Linked DNA regions of Mus musculus. The protein of the gene in region 5 purifies or fractionates together with the protein of the main gene of each other region. This does not show direct contact. Links are inferred from orthologs where the notes say so. Each region holds a gene or a part of one and is shown on either strand. Other genes may lie near its edges.

What was found.
Region 1: the proteins of Eif4a1 (region 5) and Eif4g3 purify together in Homo sapiens (co-immunoprecipitation; 6 studies listed by BioGRID and IntAct, counting the BioPlex papers as one, with this or other methods). This does not show direct contact. The link is inferred for Mus musculus from reciprocal best matches to the Homo sapiens genes EIF4A1 and EIF4G3.
Region 2: the proteins of Eif4a1 (region 5) and Eif3b purify together in Homo sapiens (affinity purification with mass spectrometry; 4 studies listed by BioGRID and IntAct, counting the BioPlex papers as one, with this or other methods). This does not show direct contact. The link is inferred for Mus musculus from reciprocal best matches to the Homo sapiens genes EIF4A1 and EIF3B.
Region 3: the proteins of Eif4a1 (region 5) and Eif4e purify together in Homo sapiens (affinity purification with mass spectrometry; 8 studies listed by BioGRID and IntAct, counting the BioPlex papers as one, with this or other methods). This does not show direct contact. The link is inferred for Mus musculus from reciprocal best matches to the Homo sapiens genes EIF4A1 and EIF4E.
Region 4: the proteins of Eif4a1 (region 5) and Ibtk purify together in Homo sapiens (co-immunoprecipitation; 4 studies listed by BioGRID and IntAct, counting the BioPlex papers as one, with this or other methods). This does not show direct contact. The link is inferred for Mus musculus from reciprocal best matches to the Homo sapiens genes EIF4A1 and IBTK.

What each region holds. Positions count from the first base shown.
Region 1 is NC_000070.6:137,991,879-137,996,369, reverse strand, and holds the start of Eif4g3 (eukaryotic translation initiation factor 4 gamma 3), read right to left. Parts: upstream 2,915-4,491; 5' UTR 2,743-2,914; exon of another isoform or gene 2,423-2,742; coding exon of another isoform or gene 2,226-2,422; exon of another isoform or gene 1,794-2,225; intron 1-1,793. UniProt on the Homo sapiens protein: Component of the protein complex eIF4F, which is involved in the recognition of the mRNA cap, ATP-dependent unwinding of 5'-terminal secondary structure and recruitment of mRNA to the ribosome. Functional homolog of EIF4G1.
Region 2 is NC_000071.6:140,418,056-140,422,276, forward strand, and holds the start of Eif3b (eukaryotic translation initiation factor 3 subunit B), read left to right. Parts: upstream 1-1,249; 5' UTR 1,250-1,305; coding exon 1,306-1,771; intron 1,772-4,221.
Region 3 is NC_000069.6:138,550,050-138,553,740, forward strand, and holds part of Eif4e (eukaryotic translation initiation factor 4E), read left to right. Parts: intron 1-213; coding exon 214-277; intron 278-843; coding exon 844-957; intron 958-3,532; coding exon 3,533-3,672; intron 3,673-3,691. UniProt on the Homo sapiens protein: Acts in the cytoplasm to initiate and regulate protein synthesis and is required in the nucleus for export of a subset of mRNAs from the nucleus to the cytoplasm which promotes processes such as RNA capping, processing and splicing.
Region 4 is NC_000075.6:85,746,512-85,750,977, forward strand, and holds the start of Ibtk (inhibitor of Bruton tyrosine kinase), read right to left. Parts: upstream 2,824-4,466; 5' UTR 2,620-2,823; intron 1-2,619. UniProt on the Homo sapiens protein: Acts as an inhibitor of BTK tyrosine kinase activity, thereby playing a role in B-cell development. Down-regulates BTK kinase activity, leading to interference with BTK-mediated calcium mobilization and NF-kappa-B-driven transcription.
Region 5 is NC_000077.6:69,666,412-69,669,590, reverse strand, and holds the end of Eif4a1 (eukaryotic initiation factor 4A-I), read left to right. Parts: intron 1-344; coding exon 345-513; intron 514-595; exon of another isoform or gene 596-739; intron 740-837; coding exon 838-947; intron 948-1,042; coding exon 1,043-1,186; intron 1,187-1,257; coding exon 1,258-1,395; intron 1,396-1,479; coding exon 1,480-1,569; intron 1,570-1,614; exon of another isoform or gene 1,615-1,757; intron 1,758-1,816; coding exon 1,817-1,896; intron 1,897-1,973; coding exon 1,974-2,118; 3' UTR 2,119-2,655; downstream 2,656-3,179. UniProt on the Homo sapiens protein: ATP-dependent RNA helicase which is a subunit of the eIF4F complex involved in cap recognition and is required for mRNA binding to ribosome.

The DNA.
Region 1 (4,491 bases), on a different chromosome or scaffold from region 5:
CAACATTTTCCCGCTGCTGCGTTCTGAGCCGGCCGTAGCCCACGCTTCCTTTACTATCTCGATAGATGCTTATTTAGCTGTGCGATCTTGCCGGAGTAAAGCAGGAATTGTAGAATACATCAAGTATAAAATGTCAGCCGCCATGACATGGGGCAAAATAGAACCTCCAAGCAGCACGGCTGGCTCCAAGGTTGCCATGAAGGGTTTAGAATAATCTTCTCTGCAGAGAACACCTTATTCCTTCCTGTTTCCCAACTGCATCTTCCTTCTATTTTAAAGAAAAGATAAAAATCTAACTGGAGGTCCAACCACGACTTCCAAGTTGTAACCAGCTTCAAGTTTTTCCAGTCCTTCAGCTGTGAGCTCTAAGGAGCAAAAGCATACTTGGGATACTCAGCACCCCCGCTCTGTATCCAATGAAGCCACCAACTTCACCAAGCGCTGTCACGTACAACACTATGATCCCTTACTTGCTGGTCTGTCTGTCTGTCCAGAACACACAGTGTGCAATCCCTCTGGTTAACTCCCTAACAGCTTAAAGAGGCAGGTAAGGAACAACTCACTTGGTCCGGAGACAGAAACCTACCAACACAGACAGACCATCAAGAAAAACAACCCTAAAATTAGAACGGAATTCGAAGCAAGTATGAAAGTGAAGCTAGGTAGACTGAAGCGACCCAATTCTACCCCGAAGCAGGCTGAACGGCCGACCTGCTCCTTCACAGGCCAATAGCTGCGCATGTGGGTCAGAAGCAACTGGGTTCTCCATGAACACGCAACATTCTCAGCCGCGAGCAAGCGAGAAACTGAACAGAACTGGGCAGGGTCAGAACATTATGAAATCACTCCACACATAGCACTGGAGCACTAAGATGTGGACTAACAATATGTAAAGAACACAGAAAGAACGCTGGACAGAAAACAAACAATGACCTGAGGTGACCCAAGAAGGGGAAGTGTTTTTCCCTTCTCAAAGTAATTGATACAGACAAGAATCAAACTACACAGAAATGACTAGCCCCAACACCACTTACAAGTCAAACACAAGAACCACACAGCACTGGGAACATCCAAAAATCATTTGTCCATTTTTCACAAGTCCAAGGATGGGGGGTGGGGGCGGGGGAGATGATGAAATGTTATTCTCAGATAGGTAACAACACCTCTGCTTGCCCATCGATGGTAACGCACACCTTTAATCCCAGCATTCAGGAGGCAGAGGCAGGCGGATCTCTTGAGTTCAAGGGCAGCTTGGTCTACAGAGCAAGTTCTAGGGCAGCCAGGGCTACACAGAGAAACCCAGTGGGGATCCAAAGGAGTATCACCTTCCTTTACTCCATAGGAGCTGTGAATTCGACGTTTTATTCTGACTTAAATACCAGGTACCAAGATTTTTCAATCAAAGCTGCCCCAACTTCTATACCATGAAATTAAGACACATTCAAAACTAAGACCCTTCCTTGGGAGCCCTGGTACCCTCCAGACACCACCCTACGGAGCAGCAAACTTACTAAAGCCCTTTAAAAAAGATATACAGCGTTAACACCAGTCTTAGAAGAAGTGAGACTTCTGGGGGTACTGGGTAATGTGAGTTAACTTCCTCTTCCTTTAGAAAGGTCAAAGACAGGGAAGCGCCCAGTGTAACATTTCCTCCTTAGCCGGCTCCACCACAAGCCACAACACAACTCTAATTGCTTAAAAAAATAAAATACGATAAAATAAAATAAAACAAAACACTAGCGGGGGGGGGTGCTTTTTGTACACTTGCAGTAAAGACTGAAGACCCAACTTACCTCAGGAATGAGCTGATTCGTTTCCAACAGAAAATTTAGCAATAAACTTTGCTATGAATCCTAAATAATAATTAGAGAGGCTACCGAGCCCCGCAGAAGGCAGGGCCTCCCAACAGTCAGAAAAGCCTTGCCCGCAGGGCTGGTCCTAGGCACCAGCAAATTCTGCCCAAGAAAGGGGAGGGAGCAGCCAAGGGCAGGGTTCCCCCCAGATCCACAAGAGCTGCAGAGGCACGGCCCGGTGGAGCTAGTAGTGTTCACGGTACCGCAGAGGGTCCCGGGGTCCCCAGCAATGCTGTCACCGGTGCACCCCAAAAGCTCGGGTCAAGCCGGGAGCAGAGCGGCTGCCCGTCCCTTTTCTGGCCGGGCTATGACGGCAGGCAAGGAGGTTCCCACCGAGGGTCGCTCTGGACCGCCGGAAGGTGAAAAGGATACTGTTGGGGCGCCGGGGTCTGGAGGGCCCTGATGTTCGGGTGAGGAGGGGCCGCCGCTGCCGCTACTGCCGCCGCCGCCGCCGCTGCCGCCGGATGAGGAGGCGGTACCGCCGCCGCCGCCGCCGCTCCGGTGCCGGGTCCGGTTCCTGCTGCAGCCGCTGAGCCTGATTTCAGAGCCGGTTTCTGCGGTAAACTCATGGCAAAGCGAAGCCACCAACCCCCCCAGAGCGGGACCGGGCGCGCCGGGGTGCAGGGGCCGGGGGCAGCGGAGGGGCGGGATGGGGGCAGACCCGGGGAGGCGGCGGGAGCGGGGGGCCGGGGGGAGGCTGGGAGGAGGAGGAGGAGGGGGCCGGGACCGGTCACACACGCCCTCCGCCGCCGCCGCCTCCGCCGCCGCCGCCGCGGGCAGCAGCAGCCGCCCCGCGGGCCAGCACCACCGGCTGCCGGTCTCCGTGACAACGCGACCCCGGGGAGGGGGGGGCCGGACCCGGCAGGGGCAGGAGGCGGAGAGACCGGACCTTTCACGGCAATATCCTCATGGGCCGGCGGCGGGGGGTCTCTGTCCCCCTCCCCGGGGGAAGCGGCGCCCTTCTCGGTAGCGGGGCTCGGGCGATGCGGACGGATTTTCTTCACTCAACGAGCAGAGCATCCAACATGGCGCTGCGGCCGCCTCCAGCAGTCCGGCAGGACGGCCGCTCGGAGCTTTTCGGCCCTTTTCGGAAGGACTCGGCAGACCGAGGGTGGCAAGCTCTCTCGGCTATTTCCGGAGACCGCGAGCGGCCGGGCTTCTTCGGGAGCGCTCGGGAGCGCCTTCGGCCGCTGTTCGGGAACGCCGCAGGAGCTGACACTCTTTCTCGGGAAAGATCGGTGATCCGGGACGGCTGAGGATCTCCGCGGCGCGGTGCGGAGCTGAGGGAGAGACCGAAGGGCACGTCTGTAGGGAGAGAGCTCAGCCTCGAAGAACAATAGTAACGGCACCCGAGGCCGCGGTCCGTCGAGACCTGCCAAGCAAGCGTCGAGAGGCGGCGGAGCGGAAAAACCGAGGCGCTGCGGAGGGAACCGCTAAGCCAGAGCACAAACCGACAGTTAGGAACCCGCCCGCCTCAAGGACTTATTAACATAACAGATGCCACTCGCCGGCCCTTGACGTCGCCAGCCATGGGCATTATGTCGACACGTCGTCCTCAGATGCCCAAAGTGCGAAATGGAACGAGGAGCCCCATTTTGCAGAGGAGGCCCCGGAGAAGAAAAGTGACTGCCCCAAGGTCGCCTGGCTGGGAAGGGATGGAGCGGATTCAGAAACGGGATCCCACCTTCTCTAGGATGAACCTTACCCTTCTAGGATGCAAAATGGCCTGCCTTGCCAGAAACTGACCCTAAGCTCTGTAGAGTGGATATCTTCCCACAGTCTTCCCCAAGACTGGAGGGGCCTTTGACTACAACCTGTAGTCGGCTGCCCATCTTCTTTTGCTTGGCTAACTCCTGTGGATAAGGTCTCCTCCCCCCACATCCATTCACACTTTGCACACCACACCTGCGCCCCTCAATAGAGGCATTGTCCCCAGGACACAGTAACATTGACAGAAAAGGAGTCGCAGACACCTCCGAACTGTGCAGATATGGAGTACTGCATTAGCTCATATAATCCCAAGAAATAGGTAAATACCTATTCTTACAAATGAAGACTCTGGGGTCCAAAGAAGTTTAGCTATCATCTACACTATTAAAAAAAAATTTTTTTTGAGGCAGCTCAAAGCTGACAGGAGACTTTGCCAAGGTCACATGACCAACGTGGACAGAGGTAAAATTAGTGTCCTGTGTCCTGTGTGCTTGAGTTGCAAACGTTAGGACCCAAGTGCAGACTCCAGAATTCACTCAGGAAAAGTCTGGTGTGCGAGAGGTGTATACAGTCCCAGCATTGAGGTGAAGACCAACAGTTCCCTGAGGCTCACTGGTCACAGCCCACTCCATCTGATGAGTTCCAGGCCAGTGAGAGACCCTGTCTCCAGAATAAAAGGTGACAGCACCAGAAGAAGACACCTGAGGTTGTCCCCTGGTCGCCATACACATGAACATACAAACAAGATTAGTGTCCTGACTCCTGCTACATTGGTGGGTTTCAGAGTTGGGGTGGTCGTTGGTTTCTCTGGGTTTGTTGGCTTGCTTGCTTCTTTTTGAGAGAGTCTTAAGTAGCTCAGGCTAGCCTCATCTCTCCACGTGCCTGAGGATAACCTTGAACTCCTGCTTGTCTTGCCTCTACCCTCCAA
Region 2 (4,221 bases), on a different chromosome or scaffold from region 5:
AGGAAAGTTTTGTTTGTTTTTTCTTAGGAATGATCTGGGACCAGAGAGGTGACTCAACTGTTTTTGTTGTTGTTTTGTCTTTTAAATTAGGCTCAACAGTTCAGAGCATTGCCTGCTCTTCTAGAGAGCCTGGGTTCTATTGCCAGCAACGACATGCGGTTCATAATTGTCTACTCTAAGTCCTGCGCGTGATACGATGCCTTCTTTCGGCCTCCGCTTGTACACGGTGCACAGACAGACTTGCTGGCAGAACACTGATACGCATAAAAAAAAATTCGAGTTAAGAGATGGTTGTAAACTACCATATGGGTACTGAGAGCGAAACTTGTGTTCTTAAGCTCTTAGTCCCCTCAACTAGTTCTTATTAAGATTTTCGAAACTTTGAACTGGAAGTATCAAAAATCTTGACTATCTTTTCAAGCAAACCACTCTTGGGGTCCCCCTGGTCACTCCACGAAGGTTCCGTCCCGTCCACCCCACGCTGGCCCACGTGATCGCGCTCTCCCGCGCGTGAAGACCGCAGTCACCGGCAGACAGAATCACAGTGACTTTCACGTCTGGGGCCAACGCTAAATTGCGAGCCGCTGCAGTGAGGATGGCCATTGAGATTAAAGCCGCTCATCACACGACTCTGCATTGTGCGGGCAGTCATTCTTGTGTGTGTTGGCGGCCCCTGGTTGTCGGCGAGCTCCTCGCGTAATTTTGGAACCCTTCGTTCTTTTGCCCCGTCAGTGGACCGGTCTAAAATGCAAGACCTTACGGGGGAGCGAAGCCAGTCATGTCAGTCAAGCAGTCTGTCTGATTAAAAGCAAAGCTTACAAAGAATCATGTGTGGAGCTTTCAGTTGTCTTGGCATTATTTTATGGTCACATATTTTGTCTTCATACAGTTACGCGTGTTAATCATTTGAGAATCCACTTGATGCTCCCCAGATAGTACAGTCCTTCCCCGTAGCGCCCGCTGGGAGAGGCAAAGGAACTTCTACCATCTTGGACGCAACTATTTCTTAGCTAGAATGGGGGAGCCACATATCCTTGTGAATTTATTTGCTACCTTAAAAAACCTTTTGGGCTATAAATAAACTTGCATATCTTGAAACTTATTATTTTAATTGTTTCTAGATTTTTATGCATATCTGAGTTTTCTCGGGCTGATCGTGAGGAATGAGGGCGTGGGTGTCTCCCCCGAGCCACATCTTGGTACGATCCCATCGCTGCACGCACATGGCTCCGCGCTAGCGGCGCGCGGTGACTTCTGGGAGTCGGAAGCAGGGCGGCCGAGCCGGGTGAGAAGCAGCGCGGGCCCATGCAGGACGCTGAGAACGTGGCGGTGCCCGAGGCGGCCGAGGAGCGGGCTGAGCCCGCGAGGCAGCAGCCGGCCTCCGAGTCGCCGCCGACGGACGAGGCGGCAGGGTCTGGGGGGTCCGAAGTGGGGCAGACGGAAGACGCCGAAGAAGACGCCGAGGCCGGACCGGAGCCCGAAGTGAGGGCCAAGCCGGCGGCCCAATCCGAAGAGGAAACGGCGACGAGTCCGGCCGCCTCGCCCACGCCGCAGTCGGCGGAGCGGTCCCCGTCGCAGGAGCCCTCTGCTCCCGGGAAGGCAGAGGCCGTTGGCGAGCAGGCCCGGGGGCACCCCTCGGCTGGAGCGGAGGAGGAGGGCGGGTCTGATGGGAGCGCGGCTGAGGCGGAGCCGCGGGCTCTGGAGAACGGAGAGGCAGATGAGCCCTCCTTCAGCGACCCCGAGGATTTCGTAGACGACGTGAGCGAGGAAGGTAAGGGCGATCGTGTCCCCGGCCAGGGCGCGAGGTCTCCCGGTTACAACGATCTTGTTTCCTCTACAGTGGGGGACCATTTGGGGAGTCCGTTTCTGCGGCAAGCCCTTGCACCTGGGGGTTGGTGGAGGGCAGGACGAACAGGACTATCTGGGGGCATTCCAGTTTCCTGGCCAAGGGTTTCCAGGGTTGACCAGTTGCTGTGTTCCCAATGGTTTCCGTAGTAAGGCATTGCCATCGGACCCAAGCACATTACCAACCTGCTTCCTTTTACTAGGTCGGTACCCTGGACCATTGCTTTTTCACATTGTTCGTTTGGCCGCTTACTTCATGATTTCTTCTATGGTGACTGGCTTTTTAAAGGCATTGTTTCTGTCTACCTGCACAGGAGCCAGATTCCTAAAATCTTTTTTGACAGTTGATAGCATGTGTTCCTCTGCCGTTTCAACTTCACTTGAGCCAGTTCCTTCATGTGTTGGTGTGGCTAATACCAAGGGCCAAAGGGCCTAAGAACACCACTTTTTTTTTTTTTTTTTTAAACGAGACAGGGCCTCTCTATGTAGTTCAGGCTGAAATTGAACTCTTGGTTCTTCTCAGTTTTCACGGTGCTGGTCCTACAGACATGTACTCCCAAACAATTGCTTTTGAACTACCATGAAAATTCAGCGCCCCAATATAGTTGTCAACTTAGAACTTACAATATTTCAAGAGGTCGTCATTTGATGTCACCATTGTTTGACTTAATCCTTTTGTATGTTTGTGGGGGTTGTTTTGTTTTGTTGTGAAACAGGGTCTGGCATGGTCCAGGCTGGCCAGCTCTTTATGAAGCTGAAGCTGTCTTTGATCCCCATCCTTCTGCCTCCACTTTCAGATTGCCAGGATTTGAGATGTGAGTCACCATGCCTGGCTTATTTCTTGAAAGATGGCTAAGAGTGAGAAGCCGATAAACTAATGTGAGGAATCTATAGGCTCCAGCCTTGAGGACGTTTATCTGGGTAGAGCAGGTTTCTGGGTTCCCACTCTCGCCCGACTCCAGTGCTTGCTAATGTACCTGTTTTCCCCATGTTAGAGCCTAAGCTTTGACTTTGAAGCTCCTTTTGAATCCTTGGTTCCTTTGGCTATTTTGGGTCTGGGCTGTCCCTGTCACTTCATGGTTTCAGACAGGACCTCACCATTTGGCTGGGCCAGCAGGCCACGTAGGTCCTTGTACTTTTCTAGCACTGGGAATGCGGCTCCGTGCCCCTCCAGCTTTTTTGAGTTGGGTGCTAGCCTACAGGAGTGATCTTACCTCAAGTCCTGCTGCTCGCCCAACAAGCGTCTTTTGAGCTAAACCATTTGCCCATAGGCACTACCAGCATCTTTTCCCCTTTTCAAAGGTCTGTTTTGTTTTGTTTATTTGTTTTTAATTGAAATTTTGCACAGGATCATTTTGCCCGTGTGTCTAGTGCCCATGGAGGCCATTGGATGGCTCTCTTAGAACTGGAGTTTGAATTAGAATTGGTTGTAAGTACTGGGAAGAAAATGGGTCAGTCTACTGCAAGATGAGTATTTAAAGAATATTTGAACCCGTTTAATTCACAGATTCCAGTATGTATATTATTTCCAGAATTGGGGATTATAGGAGTCAGGGGATGCTGGCTGGTGTGACTGCAAGGCCAGCCTGCCTTCAACAAGTCTGCTAGGAGCCCAGTGGGTCCCGTCCAGTGTATGCAGGGAAAGGGAGAGTAATGAGAATCTGGCCCTTAATGGTTGGAACTCTTAAGGCCATCTGGCTTTGGGCATCAGGGTGTCACAGTGTCATCAGGGTGAGAAGAGAAACAGCCTTTTGGTTTCTACCAGGAGGAGCAGTGTGGAATCCTCACATCAGTATATGCCTCCTATTCTGTTACTGATAATGAACAAGTTGTTTTCTCTAGTGTGCTGTGCATGCCAGCAGTTCAGTACTTGGAAGGTAGAGGTTTGAGGTTAGCCCTTGCTACATAGAGGGTGCAGAGCCAGCCCGAGGTACTTGGGACCCTATATCACAAGACAGATAGAAGGGGGCTGAAGAGATGGCTCAACACTTGCTGTTCTTCCAGAGCACCTGGGTTTGATTCCCAGCTCCTGCATGATGGCTCACAAGTCTCTGTAACTCAGGAGTGATCATGTGGTACACATATACACAAAAAACATTTATACATGTCACAATAAAGTGTAAAAAACCCAAGCAAATGGAAAGAAGCAGTGTGTTGCGTTCTGAGGATATTTTGCTCTGCGCTTCTCAGGAGAAGCAGATGGTTAGTTACAGGCTAGGAGCACTTTGAGCTCCTGGGAAGGAGTCTAGTCTGTATGGAAGCTGGGCTTTTCTTTATTGTGTCTTGTTAAGTTTAGATCCAGCTTAGCAGGCTGTTTAATTGTATGGTAAGCAGGCTTTTAAAGGAACCCGGAGTTTCTGTAGTGAAGGTGTGTGG
Region 3 (3,691 bases), on a different chromosome or scaffold from region 5:
TGTATTAGTTTACATTATAAATTTCTTTGAGTGTAATCATTATTTAGACCTGTTGTGTCCATTTCAGAAATTAACTACATACAGAGTCAAAAAAAGAAAAACAAATCTACATACTTTTATGTTTTCGTATTTTCCAAATGTGTGTGTGTCTGTGTAAGCACCCAAACCCTGCATTACATATTATGTTTTTAATTATTATTTTCTTTTACCTAGTCTATACAACCATATCCAGTTGTCTAGTAATTTAATGCCTGGCTGTGACTACTCACTTTTTAAGGTATGCCTAATCAATGATTGTTTATATTTATTACAGGACCAGACCATTCAGGTATTTGTAAAAACTGGCCACAAATTCAGGCAGTTGGCTTTACCAGGCTTGAGTACAGTGCTCTGTGGTAATATTTAGTTACTCATGGGAACATCCTGGGATTGACTCGAGCCTTGCTAATTCTGTGCAGCCCTTCCTGGATATACTTGAATAGACTGACTTCGTCAGCTAATTTTAAACCCATGAGATATTTATAAACAGACCTTTGTCAGGTGCTAGGATAGGACGTTAGTTAGCTCAAATTACATAGTTTTTAATGTAGCTTCTAAAAGGTTTCTGCTCGGGAATTTTCAGAACCTTTAGGTGACATGAAGCTTTGCAGTTGGAGAATTCACAAGGAGGTGGGACGCTTGCGCAGTTGCATGCCTCTGGCGTGTAGTTCTTGTGTATGTTTAAAAGCCGTGCCAGTGGCAGGGGTACAGGGAACGAAAGAAAAGTTGTCAGTGGTGCTTGCTGAGTCTAATACTGTGTCTCGGAGTACCAGTGCTGTCTAATGCTGCCTTCTCCTCCTGCAGGACGGGATTGAGCCTATGTGGGAAGATGAGAAAAACAAACGAGGAGGACGGTGGCTGATCACACTGAACAAGCAGCAGAGACGGAGTGACCTCGATCGCTTCTGGCTAGAGACAGTAAGGCTTTAGGATATGTTTGCCTTTCTCTACTTACAGCCCCTGTTCTAAAGAAGCCCTTGTGCTCACGTGGCATCACATTTACTAAAACCAGAACGAGTAGAAATTGGTACCACGCTTGTGCAAGGATGACATTTAAATCCCTGAAGCGTTTTGGTATTTGGACATAGCTGGAAAGTATGTTAAGGGAAATAAGCCAGACTTGGGAAGAAGATGGCACGTCTTCTCTCATGTGGAACTTAGGTTTTAAATACATGAGTGTGTTACATAATCTGTATTTGCAGGACAGTGAAGACATGTACTAGGAGTGAAGCACGGAGGAGGTCGGGGTCAGATATGGGGAGGGGTGCGTGAGAACAAGCTAGCAGAGATGCTGTGAGGAAACCCACACCTTTATACTAACCTGAAACTACCATAGAATGCAAATACCTGTACACATCTGAGGGGAGGATCTTAGTGTGTTCAGGTGTGACCTTTCCTGTTGAATAAGTCACAGCCCTTGCTTTTTGAGGACAGGGTTTTACTACCCAGCTAGGCTGCTGTTGCCGCTCAGAGTCCTGCTGCCTCCAACTTTTTAATTATAGACATGTGCTAGTTGGCGAAGACTTTTTATCCATCCTGTGCGTATCTCAAACATGTGAGTCCAGTGAATGATTTCTATCATTCCACAAGTCATAAAAAATGATTGACAAACTAGGCGCAGTGGTGCAGTATTTTTATCCCAGAACTTGGCAGGCAGAAGCAGGCAGATCTCTGTGAGATCGAGGCCAGCCCAGTCTAGAGAGTTCCAAGACACCCAGGGATACAAAGAGAAATCCTGTCTCAAAACCAAAAAACTAAGCAAATAAAGTAAAAAGTGAATGACATTAACTTTACCTCTACAATCAGGTTCCCCCCTCTTATCTCATTAGTCAAAAATAATAGGACTTTATATTGTGATTAATGTGGACTTTTTATAACCCATTTATAGTATTACTGTAATTAAAAATTCTGAAAATTTGAAATTAGTGAAGCAAGTGATGACATTGTTGGTTAATATTTAAAACTAAATAATGTGTTGTGATATACTTTAGCCCTTTGGTTTTATGAGCTATACTATGAAACTAGGCATTTTCTGTGGTCAAGTTCTAGGTTGTAATTTTGGGACTGAAGTTCATAGTTAATGCTATTTTTTTAACCACTTAGACTCAGTACTGATTTACAGTTAGCACTGACTAAGTGAATAAGTACTTACATGGATCAGTAACATTTTATTAAAGCAAAGATTTAATCATGCTTTTGGAGGAGAGTATGAGTAAATAATACCATTGTGGAATGCCCTAGGCCAGTGGGTCTCAACCTTCCTAGTGCTGCAACCCTTTAAAACAGCTCCCCAAGTTGTGGGGACCTTCAACCAGAACATTATTTTTGTTGCTACTTCATAACATAAATTTTGCTGCTGTTATGAATTGTAATTTATATGTCTGTGTTTTCTAATGGTCCTAAGCACCCCCTTTAAAAGGATCGTTTAACCCCCAAGGGGGTTGTGACCTACAGGTTGGGTGCTGCTGCTGTAGGAAAAAGGACATTTCAGTTTGATAGGTTGAAAAATAATGTGATGGATTGAGTTACAGTTGCTCAGTGTATTTAATACCACTGAACTCTACTTTGAAACTGTTAGGAAATGGCAATTAATGGGAGCATAAATATATTGCTGTCATTGTGATCGCTGTCTGCAAGGTAACTAAGCATCCGAGCATCTGAGGCTAATGAGGTCACCTTTTTTGTGCGCCTAATGTGCAGAAAGAGGTAAAACAGTTGACGGGGTTTCTCTGTGTGGCCCTGGCTGTCCTGGAACTCACTCTGGAGACCAGGCTGGCCTCCAGAGTGCCTGGATTAAAGGCGTGCGCCACCACTGCCCGGCTGAATTTTTTTTTTTTAAGCCAAGAGAAAAAACAATGCAAACGAGTAAAATATAGACATTTTAAAAATTGGTTCTTGGGACTGAAGAGATGGCTAAATAGTTAAGAGCACTAGCTGTTCTTAACCAAGGAGAGATGATGGATGTTCAATTCTCATTACCCACTTGGCTCACAACTGTGTAATTCCAGTTCTGGGCGATCTGGACACAGACAAACACGCAGGCAGAATACCAATATTCTTAAAAATAAATAGGTTGGAGTTTTTTGTTGTTGTTTGTTTTTTTATCAGTTCTTAAGCTGCTCTGTGATTCTGCAGGTAAGGGTGCTTGCTTCCAAGTCTGAGTACCTGAGTTTAATTCCCAGAACTCACACGCTGTGCGTTGTCCTCTTCTTGCATTGATTTGCCACAGCATGTGTGTCTTGTCTCCATTCACAACAAAACAGAGTCAAATCTTACTCATTTGCTTTCTTTTTTGTCTCTAGATCAGGATGACTTCAAATTTGGCAATGCTGCCTCTCCTGACCAATTTAAGATGTCAGTTCTTGACTTAGAATCCGATTTATTTAGTTTTATAACTATACATAGAAGAGTCCTGTGTTTGCTTCTAAGTTGTTGATGATATATATATATATATATATTCGATGTAATTTGTTATTTTTTGTTTTATTTTTAGCTGCTGTGCCTTATTGGAGAATCTTTCGATGACTACAGTGATGATGTGTGTGGAGCTGTTGTTAATGTTAGAGCTAAAGGTGATAAGATAGCAATATGGACTACTGAGTGTGAAAACAGAGATGCAGTCACACACATAGGGTACGTTGTGCTCTCCTCC
Region 4 (4,466 bases), on a different chromosome or scaffold from region 5:
TGAATAAATCTTAAAAAAAAAAACTATTAAAAAAAAAAAAAAAAAAAAACAGGGCATCTGTATCATACCCTATCCTTCCCAGGTTCCAGAGATTAGTGTGAAAGAAGAGATAAAATAATTTAAGAGCCAAAGGTAGTCTACAGCAAAACAGTGTTCTTCTTAACACAGCAGGGTGCTTGGGCATATGAATTCACAGCCACTCTGATTGCATGCATAAGATCTGAATAAGATAAAGCCAGACAAAATCCTAGCATAGGACAGACAGGGAGGTGGTCAGGAAGTCACTTCCCTAGCAGAAAAACTACTGACAATTGATGGTTAATGGGAGAAAGTTAGTTTTCATCAGGGGTGTGGCTTTTGAGAGGCTACCCACAATCCAGCAGATAGCCCTACACCCAAGTACACATTGGTCACATTAAATGGTCTAAGTGTTTTTTTAAAAAAAGAGAACACATTTAAAGTAGGAGGAAATACTGGTAGAAAGGACAGGAAAGAAATTAGAGGGGAAGAAATGTGGAGTGGGTTTAATGAAACACAGTACATGCAATTTTCAAACAAACAATATATATATATATATTTGAAATATATATATTTGAAATATATTTGAAATATATATATATTTCAAAGCCCAGGTAGAATTTCAGATGGGCTAGCTGGAGAGATGGCTCAGTGGTTAAGAACACTGACTGGTCTTTCAGAGTTCCTGAGTTCAATTCCCAGCAACCACATGGTGGCTCACAACCATCTGTAATGGGATCTGATGCCCTCTTCTTGTGTCTGAAGACAGATAGTGTACTCACATACATTAAATAAATAAATCTTTTTTAAAATCACATTATTTTTTAAAAAAAGTTCCAGATGGGCATGCGTGTTTACAGTGGTATGAATGACAATGGACTCCAAAGGTTCCTATGCTTGAATGCTTGGCCCCCAGTTAGTTCAACTGTTTGGGAAAGACTGGGAGGTATGGCTGTGTGTTGCTGTGACCTTGATAGATGAGGTGTGTCACTGGAGGTGAGCTTTGAAGTTTCAAATGCTCAAACCAGGCCTGGTCAGTCTCAGTCTCTGTTTGTCTCTCTTTCGGATCAGGTGTGAGCTCTCAGCTACTGCTCAGTACCATGACCCAAGTACGTAGCTTCCCTAAGGACCCTGAGCAAACCTCTGAATTTTCTCAAAGCTTCAATATTTTCATTTGTAAAAAGTGAGATTAAGGGCTGGAGAGATGGCTCAGCTGGTAAGAGCACTGACTGCTCTTCTGAATTCAAATCCCAGCAACCACATGGTGGCTCACAACCACCCTTAATGAGATCTGACACCCTCTTCTCGTGCATCTGAAGTCAGGTGCAGTGTACTTATGTATAATAATAAATAAAATCTTTGGGCTGGAGCAGTCAGGGACTGAGTGAGCGAAGTTGAACAGAGCGAGCAGAGCCGACTAGAGCAAGCAGAGGTCCTAAAAATTCAATTCCCAACTGTACAGCTACAGTGTACTCATATGCGTAAAATAAATAAATAAATAAATAAATATTTTTTAAAAAAAAAGGAAGAAAGAAAGAAAGAAGTTTGGGCATACTCATTCAGTCTAGAATTTTATAATCCACAAGCATCTTGAACGTTTAAAATGTAATGAAATCATCACACAAAAATTGGCACACAGAAAAAAAAAATTGGCACACAGAAAGCCCTTCAAACAAGATTTACTAAAAAGAAAAAAAAAAACCGAAGATTAACATATCCAATTGAAAAACTGTAAAGCTGCGATGTGACTCAAGTTTTGCAAAAACTTTTTTAGAAAACACGTTTTAGAAAATAGTTCTGTCCTCAGGTACGGTGAAGCAGGTCTCCAAATCAATAAAAACAAATGAAAGTAACTCCACTGAGAAGTGAGGAACTGATGACGAAAAACACACACACACACACACACACACACACACACACACAAAACGTTTGGTAATTTGCATATGGAGGTAACCACACTAACTATGGGGGGGGGGGGGGAACTACTTCAAATGTTACCTACTTCGAGATAAAGGAAACAGGTGCTACTCAACTTCTCCTCCTTGAAAAATATCCCCTCTGACTAACACGACTCATGTTTTATGACTGTGTTAGATAACAGAGTTAAAGACGGCTTAAATCAGGGTTGGCCATTTCCCCTCGGATCCAAAATGCCTTTGCAACCTGATAGCTACGAACAAAAGGCCCCTCTATCCTGTCTCTGCAGAACAGACCCCAGTCCACTTCCACCCAGCAGCGAATGCTCAGAGCAAGACCTGCTTCTGCAAACTCAGCAAGGCCCGCGGGAACTCAAACTTTGTAAACTCCACCAAGGGTTTAGGGGACATGGGAGCCTCTAGGAAGGGATCCAAGGGAGGTGACACCAGTCAACCCTCGGAACCAGAAAAGCATCGTCGCTGGAGGGCGTGTCGGGCAGCTTGGCGACGTAGCACTTGGCGGGACAAGGCCATTCATTAGCTGGCAGGGGCGGCGGGGCTGCGCTGCCAGGCCACCCGCCCGTGCCACGCGGCGCGAAGCTCGGCAGCCGCCCCCTCCGCGAGTTCCCTCCCCGGGCCCCGCTCCCCTGCCGGGCTGGCAGGACGCCTTCGCCGTCGCCCTCACCAGTCGCTAGATGAAGGTGCGCCGGCGGTCTCCGCGGGGCAGGCGCGCGGCCGCGCAGGGACTCATCCTTAGTGAAAGCTACCGGGGACAACGAAGGGAGCCAGGAGCCGGGACGCCCGAGTCAGCTCCGGGGACGGCTGCACGGAAAGCGACAGCCGCGACTGTCGGCGCCGGGACCGGGTTCGGGGAAACCTGAGCTAGAGCGGGCGGGACTCGGGAATAAGACGGGCGCTGATTGGCCGGAGTTCGTGTATGCCCCACAGTGATTGGTCGGGGCCTGCCCACAAGGCCTAGCGTGGCAGTACCTCAGCTGTGGCCTTTCCCTAGTATCCCAAAGGAGCATGACCCCTGCCGGCCTTGGTGCGGTCGACACTGGCTGCCGCCCTACACTCAGAACCAGTACTGCCCCTCTTGGTGCCAGATGTCACCCTAGGAGATCTGTCTCCCCGCAGGTCGACACTCGGAAAGGAGGTTAAGGCTGGGATGGAGGAAACAAGGAACTGGCTGGATGCCCAAGCACCACTCCGTAGAAACGTGGGCATCTTAGAAAAGTTGCTTCCCGGATCACTCGTAGTGGGATAACTGGAAAACCAGAGGTGTCCTCTCCCCAAGACTGGGCCCTGCTGCTCTGTGCCCCGCCTGTTGTGCCCGGATTGTCTGAGTGTCACTCTCTTTTTGTCAGAAGGCGCCATAGATTTTTCAGATCGCCACTGTGCGACCAGCTGCTGACTTGGGTCACATCTGTCTGCCTGACGCCAGGCTTACAATAGGTTTTCCTCCCTGAACTCTTAAATCTACAAGCCATTTTAAAGGTTGCAAATTGTGTGCCAATAATCAGTCCAGAACGGAAAACATACTCCTGCTGAAGTCTGATACAGAGGCGCCTTAGTAAACATGTGTTCAGGGAGGAGTAGCATGACTCAGAGAAAAACAGCACTTGGAGCCCAGAGTTGTTTGAACCTCGGCCCTGTTTGTGTTGCTGTATGAGCCACTGACACCATCATCTATTAAACGGAGTTAAACTCAATACCCTCTTAGACTGCTTCAGCCCAATTGCCTGTTTTGTAGACTTTGTAGGAAAGTAAGTTGCTAGATCAAACTGAAGGAGAGATGGAAACAGACCTAGCTCCCCAGCTCTCCTCCCAGTGCAAGGACTTAATTTGCTTTCTTACTTCCTACTCTGACCCATTCTGTAATGTATAAACAGTGACTTGGAAGGAAGCTGTGTACACACTCATGAACAAAGACGCTCAGTGATCTGGAAGCTAGTGATGTAAATAAATGTGTTGCCCTGAGTTCACATCTTTTATCTGTCTCTTCTTTGTATTGGGTAAGTCATTTAGGTTTTCTGAAGCCTTAATTTCCTCATCTGCAAAGTGGGAATGGAATACATGTTGCTGTAGTGAAAATGTGTTGATAGACGCCCGCAGCACTTAGCAGAGTGCCAAGCACACAGTAACACCACCTAGAAGTTGCCATGTCTCAAACGCTTGTAAGCATTGGGGGTACAAAATGTCCATACGGCCATAATCATATACACAAAAATTAATTGCAACTTTAACGAATCTGTGAAAGAAAATAAGAGGTTTCATCTGACCCCCCCCCCCAAAAAAAATGACAAACTAGGGAAGAAGTAGAAAATAACTAGGTGAAGCAGAAAAAGAAAGACCAGCATCATGCCAAGGAATGAATGTCTTTGCCGTTGGAGATGGGGGACGAAACTGGTCCTGCTTCAACAAGGATCAGAAAGAGAATATTAGAAAGCTGCTTACAAAGTAAAACTTATCAGCCACAGTTGCCGCGGTGCTGACCAAACTGAGACTCTGACATAACGTTATTTATTATCT
Region 5 (3,179 bases):
GATTTTGGGTTTTGTTTGCACATCAGCTGGGGATGTTGGCTCTAGTGGAACACTAAGTCTTGGTTCTGTGGCAGGGATGAAATAATCACACACATTGTTGGTATAAGGCTATGTTCATAATCCCAGCCTTTGGATTTGGAATGTGGTAGTAGGGTGGAGAGTGATTTCTAAGCCTTTGTAGAGCTGGCCTGGTGTTTTTTTACAAGGCTGCATGTAGGGGTGGGGAAATTACTGTGAACCTGTGTGGTGGGATTCAGCACTGCCATTTGTGGTTGTAGTGCTGGGATTGAGAGAGAATTACGTGGGTACCGCCCGAGTTAATGTAGATGTTCTTCTGCATTCAGATACAAAAGGTGGTTATGGCATTAGGAGACTACATGGGTGCCTCTTGTCATGCCTGCATTGGGGGCACCAATGTGCGTGCTGAGGTGCAGAAGCTGCAGATGGAAGCTCCCCATATCATCGTGGGTACCCCTGGCCGGGTGTTTGACATGCTTAACCGGAGATACCTGTGTGAGTACCATGTAACAGTTGGTGGGCATTCCCACATGTCATTTTCTTGGATGCAAGTTTTCCTTTAGTTTAGAACTGAGTTGCTCTGTGATGAACCCCATGCGTGTCATCTGAGCCTGGCTTCCCTGTTGTTACCTTAGCCCAGGTAGTGTTCTACTTACCAGGGCTTTTGCCTGGCTTATCAGGGAAGCTTTGGGCAAAGGATCAGTCCTTGTATTCTGAGAGCAGACATCTGCCCTTTGACTGCCCTCTTACCAAGAGATTTCCATGTATTTCACATTTGTCTGATCACTATGTGTTGGTGTTTTTTCTTCTGCCTTCTAGCCCCCAAATACATCAAGATGTTCGTACTGGATGAAGCAGATGAAATGTTAAGCCGAGGGTTCAAGGATCAGATCTATGACATATTCCAGAAGCTCAACAGCAACACACAGGTGGACAAATGGCGAGGTTGATAGGACACAAGGGGCTTGGTTGTGATCTGAGGAATGTACAGTGCCCTCATCATGGCTGCTGTTTTCCCCATTAGGTAGTTTTGTTGTCTGCTACAATGCCTTCTGATGTCCTTGAGGTGACCAAGAAATTTATGAGAGACCCTATTCGGATTCTTGTCAAGAAGGAAGAATTGACCCTGGAGGGTATCCGCCAATTCTACATCAATGTGGAACGAGAGGTGAGGCCCAGTGCAGGAGGCAGACCTGGTAGTAAGTTGTTGAGTGTAACCCCTGACTTCTGAATCTCCAGGAGTGGAAGCTTGACACATTGTGTGACTTGTATGAGACGCTGACCATCACCCAGGCAGTCATCTTTATCAACACCAGAAGGAAGGTGGACTGGCTCACCGAGAAGATGCATGCCCGAGATTTCACTGTTTCTGCCATGGTGAGTTTTAATGGCTATGTGTCTCTGTGTGTCTGTCTGTGTTGGGAGCCTTGTGCCAAATGCTTCTACCTCTTTGTTTTCCAGCACGGAGATATGGACCAAAAGGAACGAGATGTGATCATGAGGGAGTTCCGGTCTGGCTCTAGCAGAGTATTAATTACCACTGACCTGTTGGTGAGTAGATGCTTTCAGGGAAAGAAAGGAAGACAAGTTAAGTTAGTCCAAGGTGATTCCCTCTCCAAAGGGCTGACTGTGTGCCCTTTTCAGGAACGTAGCAACTTGGAAGAAAACCAGGCGTGCCTGAGGTCTCTGGTGGACAAGAAACTCTTGTTTCCTTTGCCCTCCTCTGGCTGCCTACATGTATGCCTACTTAATTAGGATAGATTGTATCCTCTGATGGCTATATTCTTTCCTGACCTAGGCCAGAGGCATTGATGTGCAGCAGGTCTCCTTAGTCATCAACTATGACCTTCCCACCAACAGGGAAAACTACATCCACAGGTAAGTCTAGGTCTGACAGACTAAACAACCCCTATGCTGAAACCCAAGTGTTCCATCATCCTTTTTACCCCCCTCAGAATCGGTCGAGGTGGTCGGTTTGGTCGTAAGGGTGTGGCTATTAACATGGTGACCGAAGAAGACAAGAGGACTCTTCGAGACATTGAGACTTTCTACAACACCTCCATTGAAGAGATGCCCCTCAACGTTGCTGACCTCATTTGAGGGGCTGTCCTGCGACCTGGCCCTAGCCCAGGGTTCAGTCCTGGGGTGGGGCTAAGGAAGAGCTGGAGGGGGGAGGGGAGGGAGCCAAGGGATGGACATCTTGTTTTTGTTTTGGCTTTTTTTTTTTTTGTTTCAGTTTTTTTTCTCTATGAATAAATGTCACTTTTTGAGGCAAAAAGAAGGAACCGTGAACATTTTAGACACCCTTTTCTTTGGGGTAGGCTCTGCCCCAGGCGCCGTCTCCTTCCCCCCCCAAACACTAATGCATTTCCCTAACCTAGTCACCTCGTTCCTAAAGGCTTTCCTACCCCAGCCAAATCTCCAAAAGTGAGTCAAGGGGCTAAAAAACAAGGCTGGCCTCATTTGCTGGACCAAATCTACAGGGAGAACCCCTGAGTGAGGTTGTCCAGGGAATTGTCCCCTGGTGAGGGGAGCAGGGGAGAGAAAATGGTAGCCATTTTTACATTGTTTTGTATAGTATTTATTGATTCAGGAAACAAACACAAAATTCTGAATAAAATTACTTGGAAACTGCCTGTTTGGGCTTCTTGTTTCTTTCCCTTCCCTCCTACCTGCTAGTGTGGATCACCTGCCCCCATACTAGTTGATTACTGAATTTGCCATGTTGCTTCCTGCAATACCAAATGACCCACATTACTAACATTTGGTAATTTGCCTCAGTGTTAGGCACAAGACATGAGTGAAACTTGCTGCATTAAGACTTAAACTGGCTGGGTATGGTGGCGCAAGCCTTTAATCCCAGCATTCTGCCGGAGGCAGAAGCAGGTGGATTTCTGAGTTCGAGGCTAGCCTGGTCTACAAAAGTGAGTTCCAGGACAGCCAAGGCTACACAAAATACCTGTCTTGAAAAACCAAAAAAAAAAAATTCAACTGGTTGGTTAGGCCTAGCCCAGATGATGTAGGTGTCAACTCACCTTGGGGATGTAGGGAGATGGTTGTTCTGTAGCTCTTCCTGTCCTGCAACTAAATAAATAGGCTAAGCTGACCTCTTACATCTGCCTTCGGCCTCCTGTGCTAGGATTGGAGTGCATGGGTGGGGT